Linked DNA regions of Lepisosteus oculatus. The protein of the gene in region 4 binds, or shares a complex with, the protein of the main gene of each other region. Links are inferred from orthologs where the notes say so. Each region holds a gene or a part of one and is shown on either strand. Other genes may lie near its edges. The genes, in order: thap3, kansl3, kansl2 and ogt.1.

Region 1 (7,372 bases), on a different chromosome or scaffold from region 4:
ACTGCGCTGTTCCTGCCCATTCTACATCAGTGGTCAAGAGTGGCGTTATTTTCTGGACACAATATGAAAAACAATATTTATTGTTTTTCAGACAAAATGGTTTTTTTTTTTAGGGCAGAGGAGGCTTATGTTGACATTGGAAGGGACAGAAGATAAAAGAGCATCCCTGTAATACACCCCCAGGTGTTTTTTTTTATTAATAAGCAATACGAGAAGCAGATCCGTGCTCTGTTCTTGGGGGCTCTCTCTGACAGTAGCAGGTTGTGTGGAAAGGGGTGACCTTACTGTTATTGGAGAGAGAGAGGGGTGGGGGTTGGGGGGGTGGGGTTGCAGACTTTGCACTTCTGAGCATGTTGCACAGAAACATTATTTCATGTCTCATTGCCCTTCATTACCCCTAGATCATGCCTGCAGGCAGTGGAGTTCAAGTGTTTGCAGCCCCTGTGCACCCACTCAAACCCTTATGACACTTTTTGTTCTAAATTTCAGATTTTTGAGGCATGTCTGGCTTATATGAGAAAGCAAGTTCGCGTTTATCATCGCACTGATCGGAGCGGTGCTAATCCGCAGAAAGCTCTGGGATCTGGCAGACACATGCTTCATATCCCAGCACTAAGGTTAATGCTATATGGACCAATGCTTTGCTCACAAGGTACTGAGTTTAGGAAATGGAGCTCCGTAGGTGAAAAATTAAGGCTTATCAAAAATGATCATTTAAATGCTTCACTGGGGGTTAAATAACAAGAATTTCTCCCGTCTTCTAAGATATCAAGGGAAGTAAGATGGAAATGCCATAGTTCTCCACAGCCTGTTAAAGGGTCGGCTCACTCCACTCGGGCAGCCTAGCCTTTGACGTTGTACGACCGGAAACGGGGCTGTCTGTGAGCCGTCATGCCCGAGCTGGGGATTTTCTTCTGCTGAGCTCAGAAACCCTCCAGGGCTTCTTGAGGTCCTGTTCTGGGGAGGGGGTGGTGGAGGAGCCCACAGTCTAAACCCCTCACCTTTTCTGCTTTCCTGAACCGCCAGTGACAACAGGCCTGCCACTCCTGGGAGAGCTCATGTGACCTCCTTTCTGTTCCCCGGACTTCGTGAAGAAGAACCGAATTATCCCCCTTGTTCACTAGTGGTTGTGATGTCTCCTTCCTTGCGCTATAAGTTCCAGTTTTACAACTTACAGTGCCCACACAATGGAAGTGCTACATGGGTGTTCACGCAGTACTTGGACATTTCTAAGAGCTTACAGTGACATGCCTTTGCTTTTCTTGCCTGGTTTCTTTTCAGATTTGGTCTGCTTTGGCCTATGTCTTCTGTGTTGTCCCTGTTGGACAACACAGCTGTGAGGTACCATTTTGCCTGACACAAGTGAGAGCTGCAGGATTAAAACATTTTTATTTACACCACAGCCTGACCATTGGTGCAGTTGATAGGCTGAGGTATTTTTATAAAGGGTCTCTTTAAGTGATTATTTAAATAATTCTTGAAATTGGAGCCCTTGTTATCAAGCCTTTCTTTTTCCCCCAAAATGGAAAATAACAATCCAGAGAACTTGACTAGATTTGCCTTTTTGTCTTTTTTAATCATTTCATACTTTCTGTTAATCCATTACGAAAACGATGCACAAAGTTCCCCCTGCATTCATTCCACTCTGCCTCCCTCTCAGTCATTGATCTAGCAGCTGAACAACAGCTGGGATTGAGCTACAAAACAGGCCGCATTCAGACGAGAACTTCACCTGGGTTGCCTGAGCAGATCCACACAGGGACTTTCCATGGGCAGGATTTCTGTGTTAACATAAATCCAGTACCATGTTCTGAAGAGTTTTGTAAGTGTGCATACCAAGTTTTATTTTGCAGAATAACCAGAGACTCTCCCCTTTGGAAACTACTCTCTCAACGAAACAACAAAAAAATCCTGTTGTCTCTCAAATTGTGCACACATAATTGGAGCTTTTGTGTGTGTCCCCAAGTCTTTCAGAAAACATGTTTTAAGGTTGATTATATTTTGTGTAAAACGAGTTCGATTTTTTTCCCCCCTGTTACCTAAATCCAGTTTCTGTCTGAACGTTCCTGCACTAAAACTAAAACGTCTGCTGAATATGAACAGAGTTTTGTGTCTCTTAGCCTCTATCAAGGCATTGGCCCAGCTGGGCCGACCCAGTTACAACCCGGGCCGGTGCTTTCAGTCTTCAGTAAGCAGGCCTGGGCCTGGGTCACATAGCTAGTGTGAAAACGGCAGCAGTAGACACTGGTCAACGCCAGCTTGTGTAAATATGTGTATTCTACTGTAAAAACAAAAAGGAAATCTAATTTACCAAAGGAAAACGAGTTTGTTCCCTCTTTATGTTTTTTTAAAAACATTTAATTTAATTTGGAACTGGTTATTTGAAAGTGTCAGAGACCGCAGGAATGTAAGCGGTCGGCTTTTGCGAGGGAACTGAACAGTGGCACAGAGGAGAAGGCTGTTTCTATGAAACTCTGTAAATTGTAAAATATGTTGTAAATAAAGATCTAACTATTGATTATTTTAAATCGGCATCTGAAGCTCTGGTATTACTTTTTGGACTTCTTTTTCTTTTGAACGTTGTGAAATCCGGAATAAAAAAAGATGTTACTTTTTTTAAACAAATAAATTTGGTATTCTCAGTTGTTCATTGCACCTCCATGATTTGGGCTATGTGATTGTTGATCACCTGCAGCATTACCACGTAAGGAGAGAGGGCTGTGGGTCTTCTGCCACGCACACTGTGGGGTCTCTTGCCCTTCTGTGCTCCTGTAGCAGATTAATACCCGTGACAAGGGTGGTGCCTCTCTGTGTTGTGCCAACAAAATCGGCAGCACCTCGAGGCGGGTGGTTCCCAAATCTGTTCCTGCAAGTTTCTAGGCTTCTCAAACTTCAAAACAACCTTGCACCTGGCTGAAGGGTTAAAGTGATCCCGTTAAGATTTAATGTGACCAGTTAATCCTTTCCCAGCTGCCTGGAGCTGCTGATTTTTTAAAGAGACACAGACAACCTGCTGGAGTGGTGGTTCCCATTTGTGGTCTTGGGGTACCCCTGTGTCTGCTGGGCTCTTAACTGGCGTCTGTAACAGACTGACTCGTTAGTTCAGGCCAGGTGATCAGTTGAAAAATCGACACAGGCCGACTCATTGTTGGAGTTTCCTGATGCAGTTTTTTTCCCTACTGCTTAAGTCCAGATGGTTATATTTCAGCCAGCACACCTGACTGGGGTCAGCCCTGAAACGTACTGATTAGCACAAGGTCCATATACCAGCTACTAATGCCACTCGGCTTTTCAAGAGCTGGAAATCCATTTTAAAAGGGTCTCAAAGAGAAAATTGAAATAAGAGAGATTTGAAGTCCTGTGATTAAGGACTTGACAAGGTTAGTAAGGACCAAGACGGGGAACGCATTTCCGATCGCGAAACTTGGCAGCCTTTGTCAGTGCATTTCCTCAACACCGAAACTGTGCTCAAAGCAGACCTTGACTCTGCACCAATAACAGCTGATGCCGAGATGTATTTGAATGAAGAGATTCAGCTGTACAGTTCAGATACCTAATGTAATAAACACTAGTATTGGAGCAGGCAGGCAAGAGCTGGAAACCAGCGGCACCTTAGCTTTCCAGCAAGGCTGACTGGTCATGCCTCTTCGGGACTGTTCTGTAACATTTACCCCGCGGGTCTCAGACTCAGCAGAATCCTCTGGGCTCTGTTTCACTGGGGCACTCTGTTACAGAGCGGGTCTAATCATTCACCGAAACGCAGAACTGCGATATCACGGCCATGATTTGACAGGTTTTAAAAGGTACTATCTTTACTGGCGTAAATGTTTTGAAGGTTTGACAGTAAGACACCTCGAGAAACCTTAATTGTGGAAACAGCTAATCAATTACATTTATTGTTCAGTTTGACCAACTATGTTGGAACATAAACCCGAAGATACCAAGACCGTCTAGGAATCGAAACTGCTTTACAATAAGGTTCCCTCATTTTTCATTCTTTCTTTTTGTAAGATCCCAGTCGGTTTTTGATCACTGTCACTTAGAGCTTTGTCACAGCATAGAGGCAAAACATTGCTGGAACAGAGATCTCTTGCCTTTATCCTGGAGAGCTCTTTGGTCTCCTGGGTTTTCAACCGAGCTCTTAATGACAGAAAACCACATTTTCTACCCAATCAGACAAGAACATGATTAAAATACCGTAGGTGTGGTTCCCCATTATCACTTGTAACAGAAACGCAGTGCAATCTTCGGTTATATACAGACCTCAGCTGAGAACGTACTGTATTGTGTCTTGGTTTTCTATTACTGCCCCTGCTGTGACTACAGATGAATACAACAGTGTGAGAGTGAATTACACACAAGTTCAGTGGTCCCACTCAACAGCCACCAACTCCGCCACTCTTATAATGACAGAGAGGTTATGGGCTACGCTGTGAGACCCAGACCCATCTGCCGGCTGAGATCTTATTCGGGGAACCTTGCGGAAAACACCGAAGCCCGTCGGCCATCTTGGTTTCGGGATGTTTTCCGACCTGGCAGGCTAGTCATCTGTTCGTGTGAGAGCGGAGCAATGCCCCACTCCCGGAGTCACACTTTCAACGACGCGCTACCCGCTGTGAGGAAGAGCTGACGAGGCCGAGAAAAAAAAAATGTGGATGTTTTAAGAAATTCAGCTCACCGACGAGGACGGTGAAACCTACCGCGTAAGCAGACGCGCCTTCCGAAACGCAGTTTGGGAGATGGGATTGAAAACTGGAGTGTCCGCGCACTTCTGTTTTACACTTCTGCGAGAAACAAAAACACACTCATAACCGAGGACACCCCGCCGAAGGGTTGACTTGTTGTAATTTCCTGTCTCTTTTTTTCCCAGCCTCCGGCTTTTCGCTCTGACTGAGGGGCGACGGCTCAGCTCGGGTGCTGCCCCCAGTTGGAATGCTGGCCGCCATCTTTGTTTGGGGCAGAGAGAGCACTGCGCGTAAAGACATGCCGAAGAGTTGCTCTGCTTACAACTGTACCAACAGGTACAGCAGCAAGAACCCGGATCTCACCTTCCACAGGTACAGCTGTTTTCCTGATTGTATTCACAGTAATCCACAGCACTGCCGCACTCACACTTCTGATAGCGAGAGCAATCAAGAATCTGCTTCAAGCTGATTTTTTTCCACCCTCAGCTTCTGTCCTCGCTGTCTCCCAGTTCCTCCGAGCCAGGACAGCAGGAGTGTCTGTTAATTATTAAATTAAGTCCTCGGTTTGTTCAGCGCGGGCTAACCTCTTTACTGCGCTGTGTGTGAAGTTGTTCGGACGTCCAGTGTTGAATAAGATACTTTTTTTGTTTTTACCCATTGCATATCTTTATCTGGGAAAGATACATTAATTCAGTGATCTCACGGTATGGGTTTGTGTTGAGTATATAGGAGAGATGTAGGAGTTTTCGAAGTGGTGTGTAGGGAAGTATTATGTGTAAGAAGTGCACAAAATGGAACAGGTTCACATATGGTTGCGTGGCCTTGTGTCCGTCTGGGCTGTTATTATTTTACTGCATATTATTTATGATTGTCATCGTTATTAATATTGACAAGAGGGCGACACAGTGCTGTAGTGGTTAGCAAGGCTACATCACAGTGCTGGGGGCCCTGGGTTCAATTTCAGACCCCCGGCTGCTGTCCGTGTGGAGTTTGCATGGCCTTCTGGTGTTCGCATGGGCTTCCTCGGGGTGCTCCAGTTTTTCCCACACACTGGTAGGGTTAGTTGGCTTCTGGGAAGATAGCCCTGGTGAGACCCTGTGTGTTGGTGCCTGTGTGTGCCCTATGTTGGACTGGCGCCCTGTCAAGGGTGAACCCTGCCTTGTATAAGGGGTTAGAAGACAGATGGATGGATGATTTCCAATGCCTCACCCTGGCGCTCCCTCCCTGGCAGGTTTCCCTTCAGTAAACCCCACGTGCTGAAGGAGTGGCTGGACAACATCGCCCGAGACGACTTCCAGCCCAAGAGGCACATGGTCATCTGCTCGCAGCACTTCACGCCCGACTGCTTCAGTAGCTTCAGCAACCGCAAGAACCTCCTGTGGAACGCTGTGCCCACCCTCTTCTCCTTCCCGCCCACCGGCTCCAAGGTTATAATGTTATAATGTTTCTTTATTAGCCCTATACAATTTCTTGCATTAGGAACTCGTCTTTTCGCAAACCCCAGCTTGCTCTCCATGAGACACACAGACAGGGAGAGAAGCTGGGGGTCAGAGCGCAGGGTCAGCCATTTATACGGCGCCCCTGGAGCAGCTGGGGTGAAGGGCCTTGCTCAGGGGCCCAACGGAGTAGGATTCCTCTGCCGGCCTCGGGATTCGAACCGGCAACCTTCCAGTCACAGGCGCAGATCCTGAGCCACAGAGCCACCGCTCCGCCCAGGTGGGCGACCCCCCCACAGTTACCCCCAATCCTGAACAGTCTGCGCCAGGCCACAGACGGGCAGGGCGTAGCGTCTCACTCCGGCCTGGCGCACGCATGCGCACACACACACAGCTCGGGTCATTTCTTCCATCATGTACTTCAGTGCGTTAACGTTTACCTAGTGTGACAGATCTGTATTATTCATGCTCCCCTGATTTATGAATTTTGATACCTAATGTTGTTTGGATTCTATTAAATTTGTCAGAATTCGCATTATCAGGGTAGCAGAAGGACAGGTCAGCTATAATCTCCTGCTCGTTCTATGCTTCCTGGATCTTTAAAAGCCTGGGTTAGCTGGTAGCATGGCAGTATTTGTTCTGTGAACTGCATCTCTCCAGTTCCTGGTAATTGTTGCAGATCACTCTTATTTATATGTGTTGTGCACGAGCTGTGGCCTTGCTAAGAGGTTTTGCACTTTAGAATTAAAGTAGGGACTAGAAAGTTAAATCTACTGGACTGGGACAGGCGTCTGGTTTGCATGATGAAAGGTTTTGCCACTTGTTTTGCGGATCTGTAGCTTTGTCACTTGTCTGTGTTTCTACCCCTGCGCTATACACTGGTGTTACCCACTCAGCCCATGGCAGGTCAGAGTGGGGGAAACTCAAAAAGCGTCGTACAATAGTGCACGTAATAGGTACACCCCAGAATAAAAATCAGATTGGAAAAGAAGAAGCAAAATCAAGATTAAAACTATAATGTACCCATTAAAAGCTTCAGATGAAAAGATCTATAAAGTGAGTCTAATGGGTTTTGGGAAATTAACAACCCAGGCGATGTTTCCCACTGCCAGCATTAGAGGCATAGCTGTGACAGACAAGCCAGGATGAGGGAGAGAATAATGAATTGCCTTCAGGCTTGGACAAAGGTGTGAAGACCATGTAAAGAGTGTTTCTGGTCTTTATTAAAGAAATTATTTTGTTCTTACTGAT
Region 2 (7,580 bases), on a different chromosome or scaffold from region 4:
GAACTTCCCAGCTCTTTCTTGTCGATCCCAGTACGACTTTGATTTACATTCGGCAGGTGTCGGAAACTGCGATTAGTTTAGGCCTGCACGTGAAGCAGAGCCCGGGTGCTCACTGTCCTCCACCCTTCAGCTTGCTGCACGAGGAGCTTGAAGGCTCTTACTTGTTGAGGTGCTCCTCCCAGTCGTCCGGTGGCGGAGGGGCATCAGCGTCGGTCCTGGCGAAGAGCACGTGGCGCTCGCACTCGTTCATCACACTCCGCGCCTTCTGGTTGTCATACAGGGGCATCGGCGTGGGCGTCACCGTCTCCACATCGATGGGCATGTCCGTCTCTCTGCAACCACATTCATAACGCACGTCCTGCGCTGCTCATGCTTCCTCTAATAACGCTCCCCCAACCCCTGGCGTGACTTGATGGCAATGTGGCACAAAACTCAAAGACACGCTTTGTAACACCTTGCAACCAATTGTTCCAAATTAGCTGAGCTCACCACTTTTCGTCAACTGTAGCAGCAGAAGGAGTGTAATTAAAAGTTTTTCTAGGAAATTCTGCTGATGTAAAGTTATCACTCACATCAGCTTGGTGCTGCAACTTAAACTGAAAAAACTCACATAAGCAAGTACGTATGCAGGAACACTGGCGCTGTGACATGCTAACAAGTTATTTTAATTGGGAAAATAATGTAATTTTAGAACAGTAGGGCAATGCAAATCCACCCCCGTTCTAGCAAATCACAACCAAAGAAATCACAGGAGTGTGAAAAGAGTACAGACGCACTCAAAATCAAGATCTGAATAACTTCAACTTGTGAGCATGCTGGATTGTTTCAATGCAACTAATAAAGCCTGAATCTTGCCAGTCTGCACACAACATGGGGTACATATTTCATGTCCTGTAATTGCCACACTGTGAAACACAATTAACATACAAACCAATTGCACAGGAGACAGGGCAGTCTAAAAGCTGGTCTTAAAGCTGGTCTTACAACAGTGATTATACATGTCATTTAAATGAAGGCTGTCTACTTTGTATACCGCCAGGAGAAGCTGTAATACTGCAGGGGGGGTTTCCACTGCGGTGCAGCGTCTACTCACACGGTGGTGTCCTGCTGGCGCCGAGGCGTGACAAAAAGCATGCGGGTAGGGCGGGCACTGCTGGCGTCCGGGTGGGCACTCCAGGGCTTAGCGTAGCTGTGGTCGAGGAAGACCAGGTCCAGCTCCCGCTCGTGGACAGACAGCTGGAAGAGCAAGGAGGTGCCCATCCGCCGCGCGGAGGTCTGGAAGTCCCGCTCCCCGCCGCGGTACATTGTTCTCGGGCAGCTGGCGCACGCTCTCAGCGGGAGGGGGCACTCCGGACACAAGGCTGGGCTAGGGACACGGGGCACAACACGGTCACACGCTGCCCTCGCCGGCCTCAGCTGCCCACCTGCAACCTCTACCTTGCGCAGACCTGACCTGCTCTCCAAAGAGCTACATCTCCCCGCAACTCACCACTGGTGGCAGGCCACTGAAGCTCAGCAGGTGGGAGCCTGGTCAGTACCTGGATGGGAGACTCCTGGGAAAGCTGAGGCTGCTGCTGGAAGAGGTGTTAGTGGGGCCAGCAGGGGGCGCTCACCCTGCGGTCTGTGTGGGTCCTAATGCCCCAGAATAGTGAGGGGGCCACTATTCTGTTAAAAAGGGCACCGTCCTCCGGATGAGACATAAATCTGAGGTCCCGACTCTGCAAGGATAGTAAAAAATCCCAGGGCGTTTCTTGAAGAGAGTAGGGGTGTTAACCGTGGTGTCCTGGCCAAATTTCCCCCTGGCCCTTAACAATGACGCCCTCTTAATAACGAGTGGACCAAAATAATTGATTTGAAATCTCGATGGTGAGTCCACGGTTGACCTGTTGGGACACTTCTGAGAGTTTAATCTTTACTGACCATGAATATTGCGCCAGCAACAGTTATGGTAAGAGCAAATGGGCATAATGAATCTCTGACGAAAGGAATTGATTTGATGGGAATATCCATCCCCAGATTTGCCTGGATTTATTTTACTGCACCATTAAAATGCTAACGCACGATGATGTTTTCAATCACGATTTATTTACTATTGTAAGTCAAAAATTGTAAGTCAAATTGCTGGGTCCTTGATGTCGGTACAATAGAAAAGCACATGTTCTGAAAGTGAAAATTAAATTGTGATTGGAATCTCCAATTTAAACTCGGTCATTAAGTAGACTTTTTTGGGGGTAGGGGCATTTGTAAAAGGTCGGGCAGTGCTGCATTAAATGACAAAGACTGTATATTTAATACAGTGAGGGTTAAACTTTCCTTCACACTACTGGATACAAAGGCAACAATACAATATACAACTTACATTTACAGTTTATATTTTAACACCTGAACGTTCCCTAAACTACGAAGAAGGACACTGTCAAGGCTAGTAAATCAGCCACCGGGCGTGTTGCTGTTTTTGTTGTTGTTACTGTAACAGGCAAGAAAATAGACTCGACAGGCAAATAAAAAAAGACCCCGGCTCCGAGACGTTGTTCAAGCCGAGGCAGGGTACGCTCAGGTCCTGTGCTCTTTTTAAGAAAACCCGAGGACTGCCGGCCTAGGTACTGAAAAGATTCATTTCTATAAAAGAACTGTCCAGATATCACAAAGCATGGTTATTGACGTCCTTGTGAGGGCAAAGCTGGTGAAAACAATGCGTAGGAGAGTTTATCGTTATACTATAAAAACACTTACTTTCTGGCGGCATCCCAGAAGATGAGCTCACGTCATTGTGTCAAGAAACCGTAAAAGAAGTGTAATCCCAAAACGTGACCCCAGCGTCCAGAACAGATGTGTAAACTCGTTTGTACACTGTTTAAATGCGTTTTTGAAATGTGTTTATTCGCATTCCGTTGCTTTTAATGACTGCTTTCTGTTTTTGTTAAGGGCCTTTCTTCTCCTCGTATTTCAACCGCGCCACTACACTGGAGGGCCTGCTTGAAAATACGGCACAGATTTTCTCAGGCGATCCGGAGTCAGGATGCGACCCTGCTGCCGGGAGACTTGGAATATACGAAATGGATTCCCGTGTTTTTACAAGACCCGCCTACCCTCCGTTCCTCTTGCAGGGAACGATAGCAAAGAAATGAAACTTACATTTTAATAAACACTAAGGTAGCAAGTTATTCCAAAGCTTTCGATGTAAACTTTAGAAGAAAAGTCACATTTTACAAAATACCAAGGTAAAACATGATTCTAGACATATATTCACAAACAACGCGACTTGCACGACATAGTATGTTAAATTATATTGTCATCATGGTATCTGTCTTATGTGCTGAAAACTGTATGTACTGGAATTGTGGACAGTCATATACCAGATTACTCTCTTGTGAAAAGCAATATTATTATAATGAGAAAATTAAGACAATTACCTTTATCGCATTCGAGAAAATGTAACATTTATACATTTATTTTTAATTTCTTCTAAACCTTTTACCTTTAAGGCAAGTTGTGTTGGTATACTTAGTGTATTTCTAAGCGTTCTATATTTTTCCACAGCACTTTAACAGCAAAAACTATCTTTCCACAACGGGATTCTGCTGGACGTTTGAGAATTGTCCGATCTGCGCATCACCGTCCAGCATGGCACAGGCATTTCTACTGCCTGACCACTAGAGGGCCCCACTAGGCTGGATTTATAGCCGATTTATATCCCTGCCTTAATATAAGTGGAAGTGAAAATAAAGGGATAAATCAATACCGGCGGTAGTGCAGAAATCGAACGTGAGTGTCATGCAAAACAAAAAAATAAGTAGAATAGACGTCGTTCGCCATTTTTTACTTTATGCACTGAGCATTACGGATAACCAGAAAATGCCTTCAATTCCTCAATAACTCAGTGGACAACTAAGCTGCTTACCAGCTTTAAACAAATCACATTCCCAAAATGCTGTTAAAACTCTTTCAGTCCTGCGGTTGTTTCTCTCTGGCGCCCATTTTTCCCTTAAGCGGTTTGTACAGCCCAGGACCTGCTCCCTGCTCCCTGAAGGCAGGCTTCCTCTATTGGTTTATATTGTGGCCGAACCCAGCCTGCATCTCCGGACCTGCCAGGTGAGGGAGGAAGACTGCTCTCCCCACAGGGGCACTTGGGAGATGTAGCTGAGACAAGATCCCTCTTCCCTCCTCCTGCCACCCTGCCCGACGTCCTGCTCCTCACCGGGGAAGCCGACGGAAGAGCAGGTTTTGCCAGTCCGAAGCCGTGACAGATGCAGAGACGTGGGGGCAGCAGGCAGTGCGAACTGGGTGCACCCCCCCCTGGCGTTCTCCTTCTGGCGGCTGTGTGAAATGTGGCATCATCTACCGCTCTCAAACTACCTCCCCCTCCTGAGCCAGCAGGTGTCTACACGAGTGCCCCCTTTCTTTTGGCACAGCGGCTGCCTCACACTCTTGAGGCTCCGGCCAGGGCAGCAGTGACCTCTCATGATCCTGTCCTGTAGCTCAGACATGGGCCGTAGAGACACAGACGTCTTGCCCTCATCCACCTGCTCTTCAAGCTTGGGCCTGCGAGGTGGTGATGACCACTCTCCATTCTCCTGTAGGCTCAACTATGGGATCTTTCTCCAGCACAGTGCTTGCTTAAATCTAGTTGAGGAGGCGATAGCCAGTGTTCCTCCTCATGCTCCGACCATACCGTGGCCAGAGGAGCTCCTTCCTCTGCGGGCACTCAGTGCACACTGGATCACAGCATGGTACTGTAGGGTTTGAAAATGAAGGACAGTAGGCATCAAACTGTTAGCAAGTGTTTGTGAGAAAGTATTTGTAGTACCTGTAATATTCCCTGTATCTCTGTGTACAAACTGAGCAAGGCAATAGTGTTGGCTTTTTATGTACACATTGAGGAAAAATAATCAAATTCCCATTTAAAATCAGATTAAATGAAATACATCTTATAGCTATATGCAAATATTAAATTCCACTGGTTTTCTGTAAGCATGAATTTGTATGCTTTACAGTGAGGGCTGAGGTGTTTTTTAATAACTATCAGGAGGTAGAAGGAGCTGGACAAGTTTTGGAGCAACCCAGTGAATCAGCTGCTTCAACATGGCTTGGGAACATGCTGCATCCACCCACAACTCACACTGCATGAAGTACCTCCCCTTGACTCCTCAAAACTGCCTCCTCCTTTGGCACTTTCTCAAGTTTTTTTTTAACATTTTTAAATTAGGATCACTAATTATTTTGATGATTTGTAACCCAGTCTGAAAGCGCTAGTTTATGCTCTTTAAATGTAAGCTGGGAGTGATTCTGTAAAGCACTGCATTAATGGAATAAATATCAATTCGTGAATTCAGCCAATGAATGTGAAACATTTTTCATTAACAACTACAGAGCACAAAGGAAGGAGCTGAAATCATCAGAGGTTTATCAGGTGAGAAACAAGTTTAAAGACGGGGTATGATATACTGTAGATGCAAGCAAGAACTAGGAAATTGTCATTTAAAATGAATGAAAAATTTAATCGTAAGTAATGTTAAATGTATGCCAAATAAAAAGACAGTTTAACAAAGTTTGTTTTAGCTCAGTACATGGTATCATTTATCAACAGAATTGAGACAACAATAGACAGAAACCAATTAGTGGAAAATACATCCCATGATGAAGAACCAAAAGTACACAAGTGAGAACCAAAACATTCATAGCACCCATTACAAGGCATACATTTCAATTTCATTACAGTATTGTTTTAGAAATTAATTTTCATACAATAATAAAGACGAAACAACTGACAATCCTGGTTTTCAAGTTATTGAAAGCATTCATCACCATGCTAAATTACTAGAAATAAAAAAAATATATAAAGCAAGATACAAATTTGCCAAGGGTACTCTGGGAAAGAGAGCTCGTCTAGAGAGTGTTACCATGGTTGGTTACAGGAATGATAAAGTGCAGGAGATTGAGAAAGAGATGAGCACATACAAGGTATTTTAAACTTCACTGAACAGTAAGTTGTTGCTAAAGATGCAACAACACAGACAAATTGTATTCTGGTGGGAATACACAACCTGAATTAAGATTTAAGCACAACATTGCCAGCACAATACCTCATAGAAGGTCTATAATAGTGTACAGACTTCATCTGACAAAGCCCCCCAAAGCATCAGCTATCAAAGCCCAAGCTAATGACATAGAACACTTTCTGTTCCATTGATGTTGTCTTGACTTGCAGGTATTATCATAAGCATGGCTCTTTGTAAAAGTTCTCAATTTGTTTACTGATAAAATAAAAACAAAAAATCATTGTGATCTTTTTTTTATACTGTTGCCCACCTATACACTATAAAATAAAGAGCAGAATTAGAACGCAATGCAGTTTGACATTTTAACATCTTCCACTTGACAAACCAAGGAAGTGTGAAATTGCAATATGCTGCGTGACTTTGGTAAAACACAGGTGCTTAGGCAGCATCAAAGTAAATGACAACACTGCAGTGGAGTTAAATCGGAGCCAAATGTTTCTAAACAGGGGAGAGAAAGCTTACAAAACTCGATGAGAAAATGCACCTGGGTTATTTGACTCAGTCCTGTAACACAAATAGATGAAAAAATTCTTTGAAACAATAAAAAGGCTTTAATCCTTGAAAAATATTTTCTATATTTCAGTTTGTTCTGAATCAGTGGCATCCAGTTTAAAAATAACTGAATCATAAACATGAAACATTTAGTTGAGCAAATATGACAAGCAAGGCAGAAATATCTCATACCAAGGAGGAATCTGAATACTGAGGACACATTTTTCCTCAAATGAATACGTATCACCCTGCATGGCTTTTTTCTGTCACTTGACAAGAGGCCTCCTACCAAATCATTAGTAGAAATAAGTTAAAAATACATATATATCTGTATATATCACAAAAACAAAACCCTCATTAACATTCTTCCATCTCGTAATATCGACACAGAATATTAAAAACCTCAATATTAAGGTATCCACACCAGTTTTCACCTGGCCTGCTTGGTATGTCTCAAAGGTCTGAAGAGAGATCTCTTGCATTTCAGTACTGCACAAGTCTGCTCACATACTGCAGTCCCGTAGGTTTTATAGGCATTTTTAAATGTTGGGCCACTGCAGACCTGAAAACTTGGTGATTTGTCAAAGTGGCCATCCATATTGCTCCGAAGTGCTATTTGACATATGGTCTCTGGCCTATAGCTGCACAACAGCATACACACATATACAAAGTGCAATCAAGAAATTACAAGCACTCACCCTAAATATAAAACTAAATTTTATATAATGATTAAAAATACATTTCCCTTCCAGTTCCTGCCATGGAAATCTAGTTCAGGTGACATTTTGGCTTTGCCTAATATTTTCAAAACATGGGTATTTTATCATTTTATTATTAGTGTCATATTTTCAAACCAGTTTTACTACTCAGGACAATGGACCAAAACTTCAAACAGCCATGCATCTGCAGAACGTGTACTATAAAATGTATAAAATTAGAAAGACGGTAAATGTTAAAGCCAGTTCTATTGTTTGCTTTAACTAAAAAGCTTTCTTCGCTTTACCTTTACTAATCATACCTCTTGACAGC
Region 3 (7,236 bases), on a different chromosome or scaffold from region 4:
ACTATTACGACCTGTGCAACTAACTTATATTACATTATGGTGTAGTTAGTAAACCAGTCTAGTTTGCAGATGATACCAAATAGGAGGACTAGCAAAGCCTGCAGAAGCTACAAAGGAAACTGCTAAAGATTCAGAAATCAAGAGCGAACACTTTGACATCAGCTGATGGAGACAAGTGAAGAATACTACAAAGGCAGCAAAATAAACTATAAATAAAAATTGGAAACCCTGAATTTGAAGAGTCTACTTGTGAAAATGGCTTGGGTGTGTCTGTTGATGCATCAATCTTCTACACAATGTGAGGAAGAAGCAAAAAGGAAAACACATTAAAAAACAGTTTTAAGCACAATTAATAGCATCCCTTTATACATTAAAGTTGTACAAATCATTTGCAAGTCCTCATTTAGAACACTGCAGGGTCAGATACATTCCAGGGCTTAAGGAAATGTCCTACACCGACAGGGATGAAGCCATTCTGTGTCTTGGCTCACCTGTTATAAAATTATTTATTAGTAAATGTGTGGATTCTATCTTCACAGCCATGTAGCATCAGGTTTTATTTTGCATACATTATGTGTTATTTATAATTATTTTTTTCTTGAAACTGCTCATATGTTTGTATCTGTTATTTCAAGTACGTTGACACCACAAATAATTCCTAGCAGCCCAGAGGATTGGTTTGTGAAAAAAGATGATTTTGATGAGCTACAGAATCCAAACCTTTAAGTCTCGAAGAGAGACGACTATGAGGGGACCTGATAGCAGGACAACCTCAAAGAAAGAGGCATCACCAAACTCTCGTTCTTCTGCACCCTCTGCGAGTCGAAGCGACACATGCGTATCCGACGATGAGGGACGCATCACACTTGCCCTTAGCTTGAGGGTGAGGGTGTGAATTGCCAAGCGCACCCCCCCGAACCCAGGAAAGGGCAGCAGGGCGTGGCTCCTATCCAGGAGACGGAGGGGGACTCACCCGTCCTTCTTTTCAGGTTTGGGGGCTGCGCTGGGGCACCGCCTGCCGTTCTTGCTGGAGACGTAGCTGCACTGCCTGTAGGGGGCGCTCTTGTCCTCCAGCACGTGCTTGAGGCAGTACTCCAGGCCCTCCAGGCGCGGCTGGGAGCACGGCCGGGGGGAGAAGGAGCAGGAATGGGACTCCTGCGCCCGGGCCTGGGGGGTCACACGCCCCCGGCTGGACGGCAGCACGTGGATGCGGATTCGGTTCATGCCCAGGCCTGGGGGAGAGAACACAGGGATAAATACAGCTGGAGCTCACAGCCCCTGCTCAGCACCTCCCAATAACCCCATCTATGAACTGGCTTCATTACTCTGCTCTCCTCCCCACTGAGAGCTGGTGTGTGGGGAGAGTACTGGTGCCCTCTGGCTGCTGTCACATCATCCAGGAGGGGCTGCACATTGGTGGTGGGAGTGGGATTCCCCATTACCTGCAAAGCGCTTTGAGTGCAGTGTCCAGAAAAAAAAATAAGCGTAAGGAATTACAAACTCATGGCTACCAGCAAGCTCTGAGCACAGTGGTCAGTGTCCTACAGTCACAAAACTAATTACTCAACACTCCCAGCCAGTGCCTGAACACAGTAATCAGCATCACACAGTTACAGAGCTGCAATTATGAACCGGCTTCATCTGTCTTTTCTCCTCCAAACTGATAACTGGTGTGTGGCGAGTGTACTGGCGCACTCTGGCTGACGTTGCATCATCCAGGTGGGTGAGGGGAGTCTCCACGACCTGTAACGATCTTTGACTGGAGTGTCTAGGAAAGCACTGTATAAGTGTGAAGAGTTATTACCATATAGCCACTCCAATCTGCTTTTTGGCAAATATCTGTGCAAACCATGTCCTCCTGGATGAGTGCTAGAGCAGGACTGAGTCACACAGGGGGGCAGGGGGGGGATGACTTGCAAACTTCAACACTCAGCCTTCCAGAGCTTCTCTACACCAATTTTAAATTCTTCAAAACTTTTTTTCCCCCCATTTTCAACAGGGTCCTATCCAAGACCGTCTTCTTCAGTACTGATACTGCTGCAGACAAGTCGCTTCACGTGTACATGACCTCCTATGGCAACCCCCCCGCCCTCGTGCTTCGTTAAGAACATGTTCAATATCAGAGTGTGGGGGGGCAGCTGGTCAGGGCCACTGAACACACCAGGTGCCTTTCAAGACAAGGCGATCTCTCGACTGCAACTGATACCGGCCGAGAAAGAGAGAGAATAAGTCTCTAAAAGATGGATACGAGTATTTAATGAATGGCTGCCAAAGAACACGTGCATTTCTCCCTAACTGATAAAAAAATACAATGTTTTCCTAGCTACCTTTAAAACACGTCGACAACACTACAGCATCTGATTGCGTATGCCGAAATCGTCATCTATGCACCAGAAGTTAAAAGCTGTTGTATCGTGGGCGCAAGTCGTGCCCCATCCCTTCGACTGACCAGGCGTGCTCGCCCGTTTCAGAGAAGCGCGCACGGAGGAAGCCAGGCGCGACAATTTAAGAAACCTACTGAGTGGAGGGGGGATCTTTGCACCCGCTGAGAGACTTCTGTGATATCTTACGCCTTGATCTTTGTTTGCGATCTTTTCAAAATGCACCGACATGTTATAAAAACATTTACAGCGCCTAGACACGTTTCAGCCGCAGCTCTTCTTAATAACGCATGGGTCTAAAGGCACAAAGCAAAGCCACTTGTACCATACAACTAGCTCGAAGCAAAGCAAACTCTGATTTCACTAAGGAGCCTGCACACCCGCCTGAAAGGCGCCTCTTGTTTTGAACGCGAACATTATTTCCCCTTGTCTCGTTCCAATCCGCGAGTCAGCCATCTTAACACATCTACGAAACATCTCCCCTCCCAACCCCCGCTACACTTCTCTTTCTTTTCTGTTAGTAAAGATAATCCCACCCGCTTCATAATCAACACAGTCACCCAGAACAACAACAAAAAAAAAATTACTAGTATGGCTCATCGTCGCAACACCACGTTTACCAGACATCTTACCTCGACCTCGCCCGCCACTCGAAGAGCTTTAACCGCTCCGGTCGGCTCCCTCTGTCGGTCGGCCGGCTGCCACCCCCCCCACCGAGCCAGGATTGGCCAGACACAAGTACCTTGGAAACACGTCATTGGTTTGTCAACATGCCAATCGACATACAGCTCGGCCGGGGATTGGTCAAAATTAACGCTTATCAATTTGGGTCAGCCTACCGAAGAGCTCGGATTCTGGCGAAGGCAGTGCTTGTACAGACTGCAGCGTTGTAATGATTTAAGAATACATCCTCTGATGCACCTGGACACATCATCAGTATTCCTACCAGGGGTCTTTCAACATCAGACACCCTCGCCCAGGCGACCCAGCCAAGGTTGTTCAAGCCCTGGCTTGCGTCCAGGTGGCTTTGTTACCCACGGGTCACTCCTCTAATTATTATTATGATGAATCATTTTTTGCACTTATAATAATAATAATAATAATAATTGCTTACACTTATATAGCGCTTTTCTGGACACTCCACTCAAAGAGCTTTGCAGGTAATGGGGACTCCCCTCCACCACCAGCAGTGTGCAGCCCCCACCTGGATGATGTGACAGCAGTCAGAGTGAACCAGTATTTTCTCCACACACCAGCTATCAGTGGGGAGGAGAGCAGAGTGATGACCCCAGATCAGAGATGGGGATTATTATTAAAGAACAGAACCCGATTCTAAAGTAGAATGTTTGGAGTCTGGATTTGAAAGAGTTTAGGGAAGGTGACTCTCTGATATCCTTGGGGATGGAATTCCAGAGCTCTGGGGTGCAGCAGGAGACGGCCCTGTCACCCCTAGATTGTAGACTGGTTTGGGGGACAGATAGAAGGCAAGAATGACAAGAGCGAAGGTTGTGAGGTGGGGAGTAGGACGACAGTAGCTCAGACAGGTATTGAGGTGCCAAACCATGCAGAGCTTTAAAGGTGAGCATAGGGATTCTGAATTCGACACGAAACCTGACAGGAAGCCAGTGCAAAGACTCCAGGATAGGAGTAATGTGATCACTTGCAGTAAACCTGGTCAGGATTTACTGGAGTTTGTTCAATGTGGATTTAGAAACCCCAGCGAGTAGAGCATTACAGTAGTCGATCAGGGAGAAGACAAATGTGTTGATCAGCTTTAAGACATAGTCTAGCGATATTTCTGAGGTGAAAGAAAGATGTTTTGACAATATGCTGCACATGTGGGTCGAATGTCAAACCTGAATCAAATATCACCCCAAAGTTTTTCAATTTAGACTGAATCTCAAGTACTGTATGACCCACAGATAGGGTTACAGCATTGGCTTTACAAAGTTGATGGGGGGTGCCAATGAGCATGACTTCAGTCTTTGTCACAGATTAAAAAAAGAAAATTTTGAACCATCCATGTTTTTAGGTCAGAGATGCAATTAGAGAGAACAGAAACAGCCACATCAGTGTGAGGTTTGGTATGGACGTAGATCTGAGTATCGTCAGCATAGAAATGATAGTTGAGGCAATGATCTTAAAAACTGACCAAGCAGAAATATGTAAATGCTGAAAAGTAAGGGGCCCAGTATTGAGCCCTGAGGAACACCAGACTAAACGAGTCCAATTTCAGACCTAAATCTGCCAAGAGAGACAAAGTGACAGCGATCAGTGAGGTAAGACTTGAAGCATTTAAGAGCAGTGTCAGAAACTCCAAACACAGGTCAAGACGAGAAAGTAAGATGTCATGGTCAACAGTGTTGAAAGCAGCAGTGAGGTCAAGAAGAATAAGGATAGAAAGAGAGCCAGAATCAGAAGCCATTAGAAGATCGTTAGTGACTTTGACCAGGGCAGCTTCTGTGTGTGAAGTTGTCGGAAGCCAGATAGGAGGGGTCTGAAAAGGTTATTAACAATGAGGTGGTTATGTAATTGAAAATGTGACAGCACAGTCTAGAATTTGTGCAAGAAAGGGAAAATTGGAGATGGGGCGAAAATTGTTTAGATTTAGATTTTGTGGCACAGGGGTGATAGCAGCAGTTTTGAGAACCACTGGTACAACACCAGTGCCCAAGGATTCATGTATTATATTGAGGACAACGGGGCAGAGAGAAGTGAAAACAGCACTGAAATGAAGTGGTGGGGACGGGATCTACAGTAATGTATGGGTGGTGGGTTTCATCTGTTTCGAAGGCCTTTTTTCAACTATTTCCAACCGCCTCTCTGGCGGTTTGGATGGCTTTCCTCTTGCTCACCCCTGTTACGTCCAAAAGACACAGAGGGACTGGCCTGCAAGTCCTCTGCAGCCCCCCCCCGACGGGCTCACCCCCTCCCACAGCGCAGACCTACCAGGTCTTCATGTCTGACTCCCTCCTTCCGCCAGCCTCCAGCGGGGACCTGTCCGCTCTGGCACGGCCGGCTGCCGAGATGCTTCACACAGCAATACAACGTCCAGCCCGAGTGCGGTCAGGGGCCCACCTGTCTTGCCGTTGCCAAGGAGACCCGCCGATACTTTGCACAGCGGACGCGGCTGCTGACCGGCTCTGACGGATTCGGTGGCCTGGTGATGTTTGCTGTCGTTGATATCCCCGCTAATAGCGTCCGCCAAGGGCTTCAGCCCCCGGTCGCGCTGCCACCGATAGCAGCCTTCTCCAAGGGCTTTCGGGCAACAGTCGAGGGCGTGCTCCAGTGGCCCTCACCCCTGGCACAAAGGGCATGCCGGCAAGCCGCCTCTGCCCCAACAGGAGAGACACCAGGAAGCAGTAAAGGTTTATTCCGTGCTGAAAAGTGACACCCAGAGAAGGCTCCACAGCTGAAACGTTGTGTTTCTTTTCGTCTCTTTTCTCCTCTTCTAACTAGCAAGACCTTATGTTAAATATGCAACTTTATGGGAAAGCAGAGGCTGATGTGTAGGAGTGATATGCTGCCAAGACTTGGTGCGAGTTAGAAGTCTAGTTGTCAAGTTTTGGCCATAATGCTAGTTGTTTAGAAGAGAGTGAGGAAAACCACAGAGTAAGGAGTGGCGGGGATCAAGCCTCTGTGTTTTAAATGAATCATGCAGTCAGCGTCGGACGTTTGTAAAAGAATCGTGAAAGAATGCATTATTTGCAGACTTGAAATTGTAAAAGAAAATAGGGGCCAGTAGGGGGCGCTCACCCTGCGGTCTGTGTGGATTCCAGTGCCCCAGTTTAGTGACGGGACGCTGTGCTGTAAAAAAGCCCTCTCCTTCAGCTGACGCATGAAACAGCGCTTCTGACTTCTTTAAAACGCCTAATTGTTTCTCGAAAAGAATAGAGGTAGGTATTCAAACCAAACTCCCCACTAATCTTGACAATCAACATATAGGAACAGGCTAGTTTTTGTTCTTTATATCGCCAATACACATGATTATTGGACTAATGATAATACTGTGGCTTTAAACTTGCGTAAAATAAGAAATAGCATTTTATACTAACTCACGCTCTGGAAGACATCATGCCTGGTCCCGGTACCAAAGAAAGGGCGCCCCTCTGTCCTCAACGACTACAGACCAGTTGCACTGACTTCTCACATCATGAAGACACTGGAGAGGCTGGTTTTATCCCACTGGAGACCCCTGGTCAGCTCATCACTGGACACCCTACAGTTTGCCTACCAGCCCAATGTTGGTGTGGAGGAAGCGATCATCTACATGCTGCAAAGGGCCTACTCACACCTGGACAGGGCTGGCAACACTGTAAGAATCATGTTTTTCGACTTCTCCAGTGCCTTCAATACCATCCAGCCCTTACTTCTAAGGAGGAAGCTGGAGGAGATGCAAGCCTCCTCGACCTCGTGGATCACTGACTACCTGACAGGCAGACCACAGTCTGTGAGACTTCAGAACTGTGTGTCTGAACAGGTAGTGAGTAACACAGGGGCACCTCAAGGGACAGTTCTTTCTCCATTCCTCTTCACCCTCTATACTTTGGACTTTAAGTGCAACTCAAAGTCATGCCACCTGCAGAAGTTCTCAGATGACTCTGCAATTGTGGGATGTATCAAGGGTGAGCAGGAGGAGGAGTACAGAGGACTGGTCAGCAGCTTTGTGGAGTGGTGTGGGGTGAACTACTTGGAACTGAATGTAACAAAGACAAAGGAACTGGTGGTTGATTTCAGGAGGAAAAAGGTCAAACCTACTCTTGTCTACATCCATGGGAGTGGCGTGGAGATGGTGGACTCGTACAAGGACCTGGGAGTGCACATCGACGATAGACTGGAATGGTCTAAGAACATC
Region 4 (6,931 bases):
TGATCAATTAAACAGATTTGTGGTCCATCTACAACACAGACGTACAGCGCACGCAGATGCACTGTACGGGACCATGAAAAACAGGCTGTAGTAAGATACAGTGGATTGTATTAACAGAAGGGTAGGAATATTCCTTGTGGATAAACTGGCCAGGTGACCTCTGACCCCCAGAGAGAGAGAGAGAGAGAGAAACCAGGGCATGTCCCACAAAACAACACCAGTAGACTCTCGCCTGGACTACTGCCCAGCTGAGCCCAGAGCCTGTGGCATTGTACTGCGGGGAAAAGAGGGGGGCTCGTTCAGTCCACTGTGCCCCAAAAAAGCCCCAGGGGGGTGGAGAGAGAGAGAGAGAGACCACCATAGGTGACCCTGAGCTCAGGAACCACCCCTCAAAACTCTGAAAAATGGTGTTAAATTTGACAAAACCCTGGGAAGTAAAACTATACCTGCAAGTAAAAACAAGTATCTCCGGATCTATATATAGTCAGTCCTGCTGTTGCCTACCTGGAAAATTGTACCGGAGCATGCAGGCCCCGACCACCAGACTCGGAGACAGTTTTTACCCCCACACTGTCAAACTCCCAGCCTCTCGCCTAACATCTGAACCCTTACAGGGCCTTCTCTCTAGATCAAAACTCAAACGCACAACGAAATCTACCTCTACCTCACGTGTCAAGACGTTTACTCCCCAGAATTGTGTATCCTTTATTTCATTCTGTCGGCAACAGTTGTGCAAAATCGGACGTCAACGTTGCCCGTTGCCTCGGTCTCTTTTCTTGCACCTTTGTCTTGTGGTTTGCACCACTCACCGTCCGAGAGCCCGCTAAATAGCGTTTCGTCCTACCATATACCCGTGGAGGAGGATAACGACAATGAGCTCGAACTTTTGAAGAGGAGTCATTGTGGCTTAACTGGAACGTGTAAACCTGTGGCAGAAAGACCCTGCGGCTCCGGTCTGTCCGGTCCGGACCGGGCCAGGCTGCTGAAGTGCAGAGGGGCTCTCCGGGGAGCCAGCGCCCTCTGAAAGCGGCGGTGTTGACAGACATTCACAGAGGCCGAAGGCCAGGCTGGCCCTCCTCTCCTTCTCCCAATCCGTGGGGCTCTTCTCGCCTCCCGCGCCCCAGCCCCTGCGTGCGGGAGCTGGGAACAACCCGCAGACACAACACAAAGCCGGGGGCTGCCCTCCCCCTCGCAGGCCTGCCCTGCGGTTGCTCACGGGGAAAGGCCAGCAGGGGCTTCAGCAGCCGGGAGACGGGCGACGTCATCGCAGAGACCAAGCCTGACGGCACGCCGAGATCCCCGGCCCCCCCTTACCTGCTGAGCTCGCGCTTACCTGCTGTGGTCGCTAGTAAAACCCGGAACGGCTCCAACAGCCATGCAATGGGATTGCTGATGCTGTCTCTTGGTTCCACTCTATTCCGAATTGGGCCAGCAAGGACAAGGTCTGTGGGGTAGAGGGACTGGGAATATTTAGGGAGGATGAGGGGGGGGACAGAGGGCATGGAGAGAGGACAGGGCATTTCAGGGTACCACAGCAGGCCTAACCTCTCCCCAAATTAAAATACACTGTGCTCAGCTGACCGGGGGGGCATCCGGGTGGCTGGGGGTTAATGGTGACCGTGGCGACTCTCCTCTCGCCTGGGCCGCCATTCACGGTCGCCGGGGGCAACGGCCCGTCTCCCAGCGGGAGAGGAAGGAATGCGGGGGCAAGCTCATCACGCTGAGACCGGGGGGGGGGGGGGGGGGGTTCAGTCCGAACGCAGAACAGCAGGGGAACAGGAGCTGCACCGGAGGAGGATGACGAGAGAGGTGAGGGAGCAGGGACAGAGGAAGAAGACACAGAAAGAGAGGCTAATGAAGGAGAACGGGGAGGTGGGAGAGGGAGTGTGTTCTCTCTCCTGCTGGAGCTAGGGACCCCAACTCTTTTCTGGGAAAAATAAACACCGAGACGGTGTGGGGGGGAGGGGGATGCCCTAACTCTCAGACTTCTCGGCCCCGTGTTTATGAGGAGACATCTTTACTCAAAGAAGAGTGATCCTGAGGACTCCTATAAAAAAAAAAAGGAGGGTCGAGAGTAATGAAATGCATGAATCCAAACAGAACAGGCAAGACAGCCTGAGAAGCCCTCTCTTGGTTGTAAACATTTTGATATGAAATGGAGCAACAACAACAAAAAAAAAAAAGATTAAACTGTCATAATGTGAAGGTTTTTCACCAATTCGACTAGTGACCTCGTGTGGCGAACACGCGACACTACCGATTAGAGCTGCAGACGGATACTGTTCAGATTACAATTCCCACATCCGATGACCTAACCTGGAAGACCGTCGTGGTCTCAGGTTTTAATAATAATAATAGCTTACACTTATATAGCGCTTTTCTGGACACTCCACTCAAAGCGCTTTACAGGTAATGGGGACTCCCCTCCACCACCACCAATGTGCAGCATCCACCTGGATGATGCGACGGCAGCCATAGTGCGCCAGAACGCTCCCCACACATCAGCTATATATCAGTTTTCTGAGTGTCTTTAGAACGGCAACACTTGAGAAGCTAAATGTGTCCAGTTGACGAGCTGTTTTACGTTGTTAAAAGCAGAGTTTTAATGAAACAGAACTGGACACTGGTCCTCCGGGAACAGGATTGGGCAGACATGACCTGACCGTGTGTAGATCATTAACCATTAGGATGTTGGGAGGTAGAACTTCTGTGTTGGCGTAGATACTTACATTTTCCGGCACATCGCCTTTTCCCAAATTGTAACTGCTGTTAAGCTTTGAAATGAAGTCGGCAATAAAAATAAAAGGTATCCAACACATCACGAGTAGGGTGTGTAGACAGTCTCACCCGCCAGGGGGCGCGCCATAGGCACGCTTTGCGGCTCAGAGACGCAAGTGCAGATTGAAAGAGGAACCTGGAAGCTGGTTTTGTGATTTTAAGCCCCGGAGCAAGAGAAGACCATCCTCATTAAATAAAGACACTTATTTGATCAATAATGCATTGAGAATCAAAGCCTTAACATTTAAACGGTAGATTTCACTAGACGGGCTTGTCTGGAACACCACAACAGCGTCTACTGCGGCTCTGTCCCGGTGCGGCGGGCTGTGAACGTGTTAAAAATGAAATCGTCCGAAGATGAACTCGAACACTACTTGTCCTAACAAGACACAAACGAGATAGTTGTTGCTGGGTGTACATTAGGACACGATTCTGTTGGAATTCCCATATCCCAGTATGTCACCAGTTCTGCAAAGGAACAGGTAAAGGTTTACTCCATGCTGAAAAGAGAAGAAAGAAAACAACGTTTCGGCTGTGAGGAATTATTTGCTACGAACGCTAAAAGACCCTTTGGTTGGTCCTCGCTGTATTTGTGAAGTTTATGTACAGAACTAAATACAGGATTCAGTCGAAAAAAATAGACATACACTGGCATATTTTTCGACATCTCGAAAGCGTTTCCCTGGGCCTTTTTATTATGAATTGACATTGGTGCCAAAAAAAATACTTGAAAATTTTTTGCGTGATTTTCTGGAAGAAGACATCATTTGCGATCTCCGCCCAGTATGTATATTTATTTAGACTAAGAACAGTTCCATAAAACCCAATTAGCATATCCTGTTCAGTACGAGATACGGCTTTGTGGCTCCCCACGTGCCGGCTGGCCCACCCATTGCCGCATTGCTGCCGCGCATCGGTACACAGCCCTGCCTAGTTCCTAGACACAGCGGTCTCTGGTATTGACACATCCGCGAAGGGGGAATTTTTCCATCCGCTTCAAACCGAGAGAAACTTCTCGTTCCCCTCCCACAAACATCTGTTATTACGTAGCGTTAGACATTTAAGGCTCGACGCTGCCTCCCGTTGTCCCGCTGTTTCGTTTTTCTGTGGGTCCTCCGTAGGGGGTCTATTTGTACCAGTTGAAGTAGTCCCGGTCGCAGCCGCCATTTCGGGATTTAGAACAGCCGCTTTGTTGTCGACGCGGTTGTTGGTCTATGCAAAGAAGTTTACAAATATAAAAGAGCACCTTTTAAAAATTGCGATCAGTCAGATTTAAAAAAATCGAACGCTCGATATTTATTTTTTTTAAATCGGGAAGAGATATCAAACATTTGACTGAGTCAACGTGTGTTATTTTAGGTTTGTAGTTGACGAGCTCACCGGCATTACTGATCGATACGCACGGCGAATTCGCGGCACGGGTCGTCAATTTTAAATTTTTTTTTTTTTGAGAAGAAACTAAAATCCAAAGCATTTTTAACAGCGATTTTTGTTCCGATTTCAAAAGACTTGTGAAGATGGCGACTTCAGTTGGAAACGTGGCTGACAGCACAGGTAAATACGGCTTCTGTCGTTTGCTTGCTCAATTAAATATTAACTTGAGATTGAATGAACAGCAAAGTTTAGTTTGGTCTTCTCCTAAACTAGCCTCATACGACTGGAGAGTAGGTAAAAGACGAGATGGAATAATTTTTTGGACATGAAGCGGTTGCTTTGTGTTCGAATCCCTTTTAAATTCGACTTGTATGGGGATTAAATTTACAAACTAGTAATATACCACTCCCGAAACCGGGGGGGTATTGATACGAGAATGGATGTTCATGAAACCAGAACAGGGGCTGCATTGTGTAATTGGACATTTCTTCATTGCGAGATGCACAAAACAGTGAAAATGATTCCGACTCGCACAGCCCTCTGACATAGGTCGAAGCAGAGTTTAGGGGGGGAAAATGAATGCAGTTATGATAAAGTCCACTTGAAACTGTGGTATTTGTATTTCTAAAAGGCATTGCAGTACAGCGGCTTTTAACCTTACTAAACAGTATGGCCAGAACAATCTGTAAAAAAAACAAACCCGGAGAGGCCTGCTTGTTTAACTAGCTGGCTAAACCTCGCTTGTGTGTGCGAGTACCTGCAAACGGAGCGCTGACGTCATCTCTGCCGGACAGCTCGCTGGACTGCGGCCTCTGCGCTGTTGCAGAACCACACGATACGAAGAAGCGTGGAGACACGCCAGGGCCAGTTTGTCGTTAATCTGCTTGTGGGCACCGTGCACCTCGCGTCCGGCAGCCCAGTTGAGCCGGCCCTTTTCACCCACGAGTTCGCTTAACATAACGTTTTGGCGGGTTTAGACAAACCAGGGACCGTCTAGTAACTCACCGAGCTTGCATAGCGCAGAAGCGTGTGTTTCGAGCGTCTTGTTTTCTTTTTACTGAAAGGCGCTTAAAGTAGCGAGACGTCCCTCCCAATCGTCCTTTGTCTCGGGTATTATACGCACGTTAATTCGTCCAGATCGGATCGTCCCTGAAGTGCTGGTGTGGCTCATTTTCTCTAGATCTCTTTAAATCTCCAGCACTTAATTGGGTCTAAATAGTTGATTTAGGTAATTAAGAGGTGGAACAAAACAGCCAGATTTCGTTTTTTACAGGTTTAGGTCACATCACGCTCAGAATAGGCGCTATGCACTGAGCTCTGCAGCATAATATGATTAATTTGAACTCTTGAATTGTTTTTACTTCATAATCATGGTGGAAGTTGCCTTCTTGTGCAGGTAACCCACGATCTCCTACCTTTGAGCAGATTTAAATTGTGAGGTTTAAGGATTCGTTTAAGTTATGCGCTGAGTTGGAAACCAGCAGCAGTGTGATTCTGGGGGTCCTGTACTGTGTAACATTAGTGGAGGTGTACGTCTTTTGTACAGCTACTGAAGTAATATTTAATAGCTAACGAGTACATTAAATCACACTACTATGTTGGAAAGATGAAGAATTCTTTTATATTCATGTAGACCGCACAAGTTAGGTGGTTTCTCATTCAGTTTTCAGAATTTACTTAAATGACCTGTTCATGTTCATATCCCTCTGGTACCTGTTGGTGTGCATCTATTGTCCCAGATAATGAATTAATTACTTAATTACCCGTGTTGAGTTCAGTGCAGCAGCTGTTGTAGTTAATTACAAAGTATGCACTCTGTATGACTGAGTATAACCATGTATTCCTGAGCTGTTTAGGTTCTGCAAAGGTGTGGACTGCAGTCCATCTGGCTTGTACTGAATAGAGCAAACAAGGAATCACTCACCATCTGTGTAAACTCCATATACCACAGTAGCAAAGGGCTTCTTCTGTGTGCTTACCCTCTGTTGTCAATATCATTTGTTCACTGTATTGTCATCATTTCATTATCGGTATACATAATATATTTCCATTCTCATTTTTGGGTCATTTTATCCTCAACCTTATTTTGTTAATATGTGCAAATCTCTGATGTAATGTATTAAAGTTGATCCAGGGTGTAAGATGACAAGGTGGTATAGTGCTAACAGCATTTCAGGTAATTTGACAAAACCTGTGAAATTGGCAACCGTTAAACATTTTCTGGGGACTGTGTTTTGCTTCTCATATTAAAATTTACTTCTGATTGAAGTGCTGTGTACAATTTGTGAAGAAGAATGAGGTTTAATGGAAACCAAATTTGAGTTTCAGCTCCATTAGTACTTTCTAAAGGCAACAACATAAAATTGTGCCATAAAACGGCCTTGATGTAAAAAAAAAAAAAAAAAGTTGGGTAGTTTCATGGATTGTTCCAACTGGGCAAAATGTGTTTGAGCATGATATAGCTGTGCAGGTAAGACATTGGATAACATTAAAGTTGTCCAGATCACTGCTGTTCTATGTTTCAGAACATTTCATCCTCATTTTAAGTTTTAACACCCTGTTTTACTGAATGTTCTACATTTAACCTTTTGCTTTTTTATTTAGATTCTTTGTTTTCATGTTTGATTTTTTTTTTCTCCATTTGTTCTAACGTGTTGTTTTCCCCTCCTCCCCCCCCCGGGTTGTGTTGGTGACTCTGCTCCAGAACCGACAAAACGTATGCTTTCCTTCCAAGGGTTGGCAGAGCTGGCGCACCGGGAGTACCAGTCCGGTGACTTTG

The links.
Region 1: ogt.1 (region 4) and thap3 share a complex: the UniProt entries of both Homo sapiens proteins name them as parts of the THAP1/THAP3-HCFC1-OGT complex. The link is inferred for Lepisosteus oculatus from reciprocal best matches to the Homo sapiens genes OGT and THAP3.
Region 2: ogt.1 (region 4) and kansl3 share a complex: the UniProt entries of both Homo sapiens proteins name them as parts of the NSL complex. The link is inferred for Lepisosteus oculatus from reciprocal best matches to the Homo sapiens genes OGT and KANSL3.
Region 3: ogt.1 (region 4) and kansl2 share a complex: the UniProt entries of both Homo sapiens proteins name them as parts of the NSL complex. The link is inferred for Lepisosteus oculatus from reciprocal best matches to the Homo sapiens genes OGT and KANSL2.

What each region holds. Positions count from the first base shown.
Region 1 is NC_090720.1:9,154,382-9,161,753, forward strand, and holds the start of thap3 (THAP domain-containing protein 3), read left to right. Parts: upstream 1-4,350; 5' UTR 4,351-4,703; exon of another isoform or gene 4,704-4,870; 5' UTR 4,871-4,932; coding exon 4,933-5,057; intron 5,058-5,916; coding exon 5,917-6,112; intron 6,113-7,372. UniProt on the Homo sapiens protein: Component of a THAP1/THAP3-HCFC1-OGT complex that is required for the regulation of the transcriptional activity of RRM1.
Region 2 is NC_090697.1:73,312,081-73,319,660, reverse strand, and holds the start of kansl3 (KAT8 regulatory NSL complex subunit 3), read right to left. Parts: upstream 3,002-7,580; 5' UTR 2,734-3,001; intron 1,367-2,733; 5' UTR 1,306-1,366; coding exon 1,094-1,305; intron 333-1,093; coding exon 162-332; intron 1-161. UniProt on the Homo sapiens protein: Non-catalytic component of the NSL histone acetyltransferase complex, a multiprotein complex that mediates histone H4 acetylation at 'Lys-5'- and 'Lys-8' (H4K5ac and H4K8ac) at transcription start sites and promotes transcription initiation.
Region 3 is NC_090696.1:14,506,855-14,514,090, forward strand, and holds the start of kansl2 (KAT8 regulatory NSL complex subunit 2), read right to left. Parts: upstream 3,019-7,236; 5' UTR 3,009-3,018; coding exon 2,969-3,008; intron 1,233-2,968; coding exon 974-1,232; intron 1-973. UniProt on the Homo sapiens protein: Non-catalytic component of the NSL histone acetyltransferase complex, a multiprotein complex that mediates histone H4 acetylation at 'Lys-5'- and 'Lys-8' (H4K5ac and H4K8ac) at transcription start sites and promotes transcription initiation.
Region 4 is NC_090703.1:46,135,389-46,142,319, reverse strand, and holds the start of ogt.1 (UDP-N-acetylglucosamine--peptide N-acetylglucosaminyltransferase 110 kDa subunit), read left to right. Parts: upstream 1-3,929; 5' UTR 3,930-4,295; coding exon 4,296-4,332; intron 4,333-4,909; exon of another isoform or gene 4,910-4,984; intron 4,985-5,157; exon of another isoform or gene 5,158-5,245; intron 5,246-6,856; coding exon 6,857-6,931. UniProt on the Homo sapiens protein: Catalyzes the transfer of a single N-acetylglucosamine from UDP-GlcNAc to a serine or threonine residue in cytoplasmic and nuclear proteins resulting in their modification with a beta-linked N-acetylglucosamine (O-GlcNAc).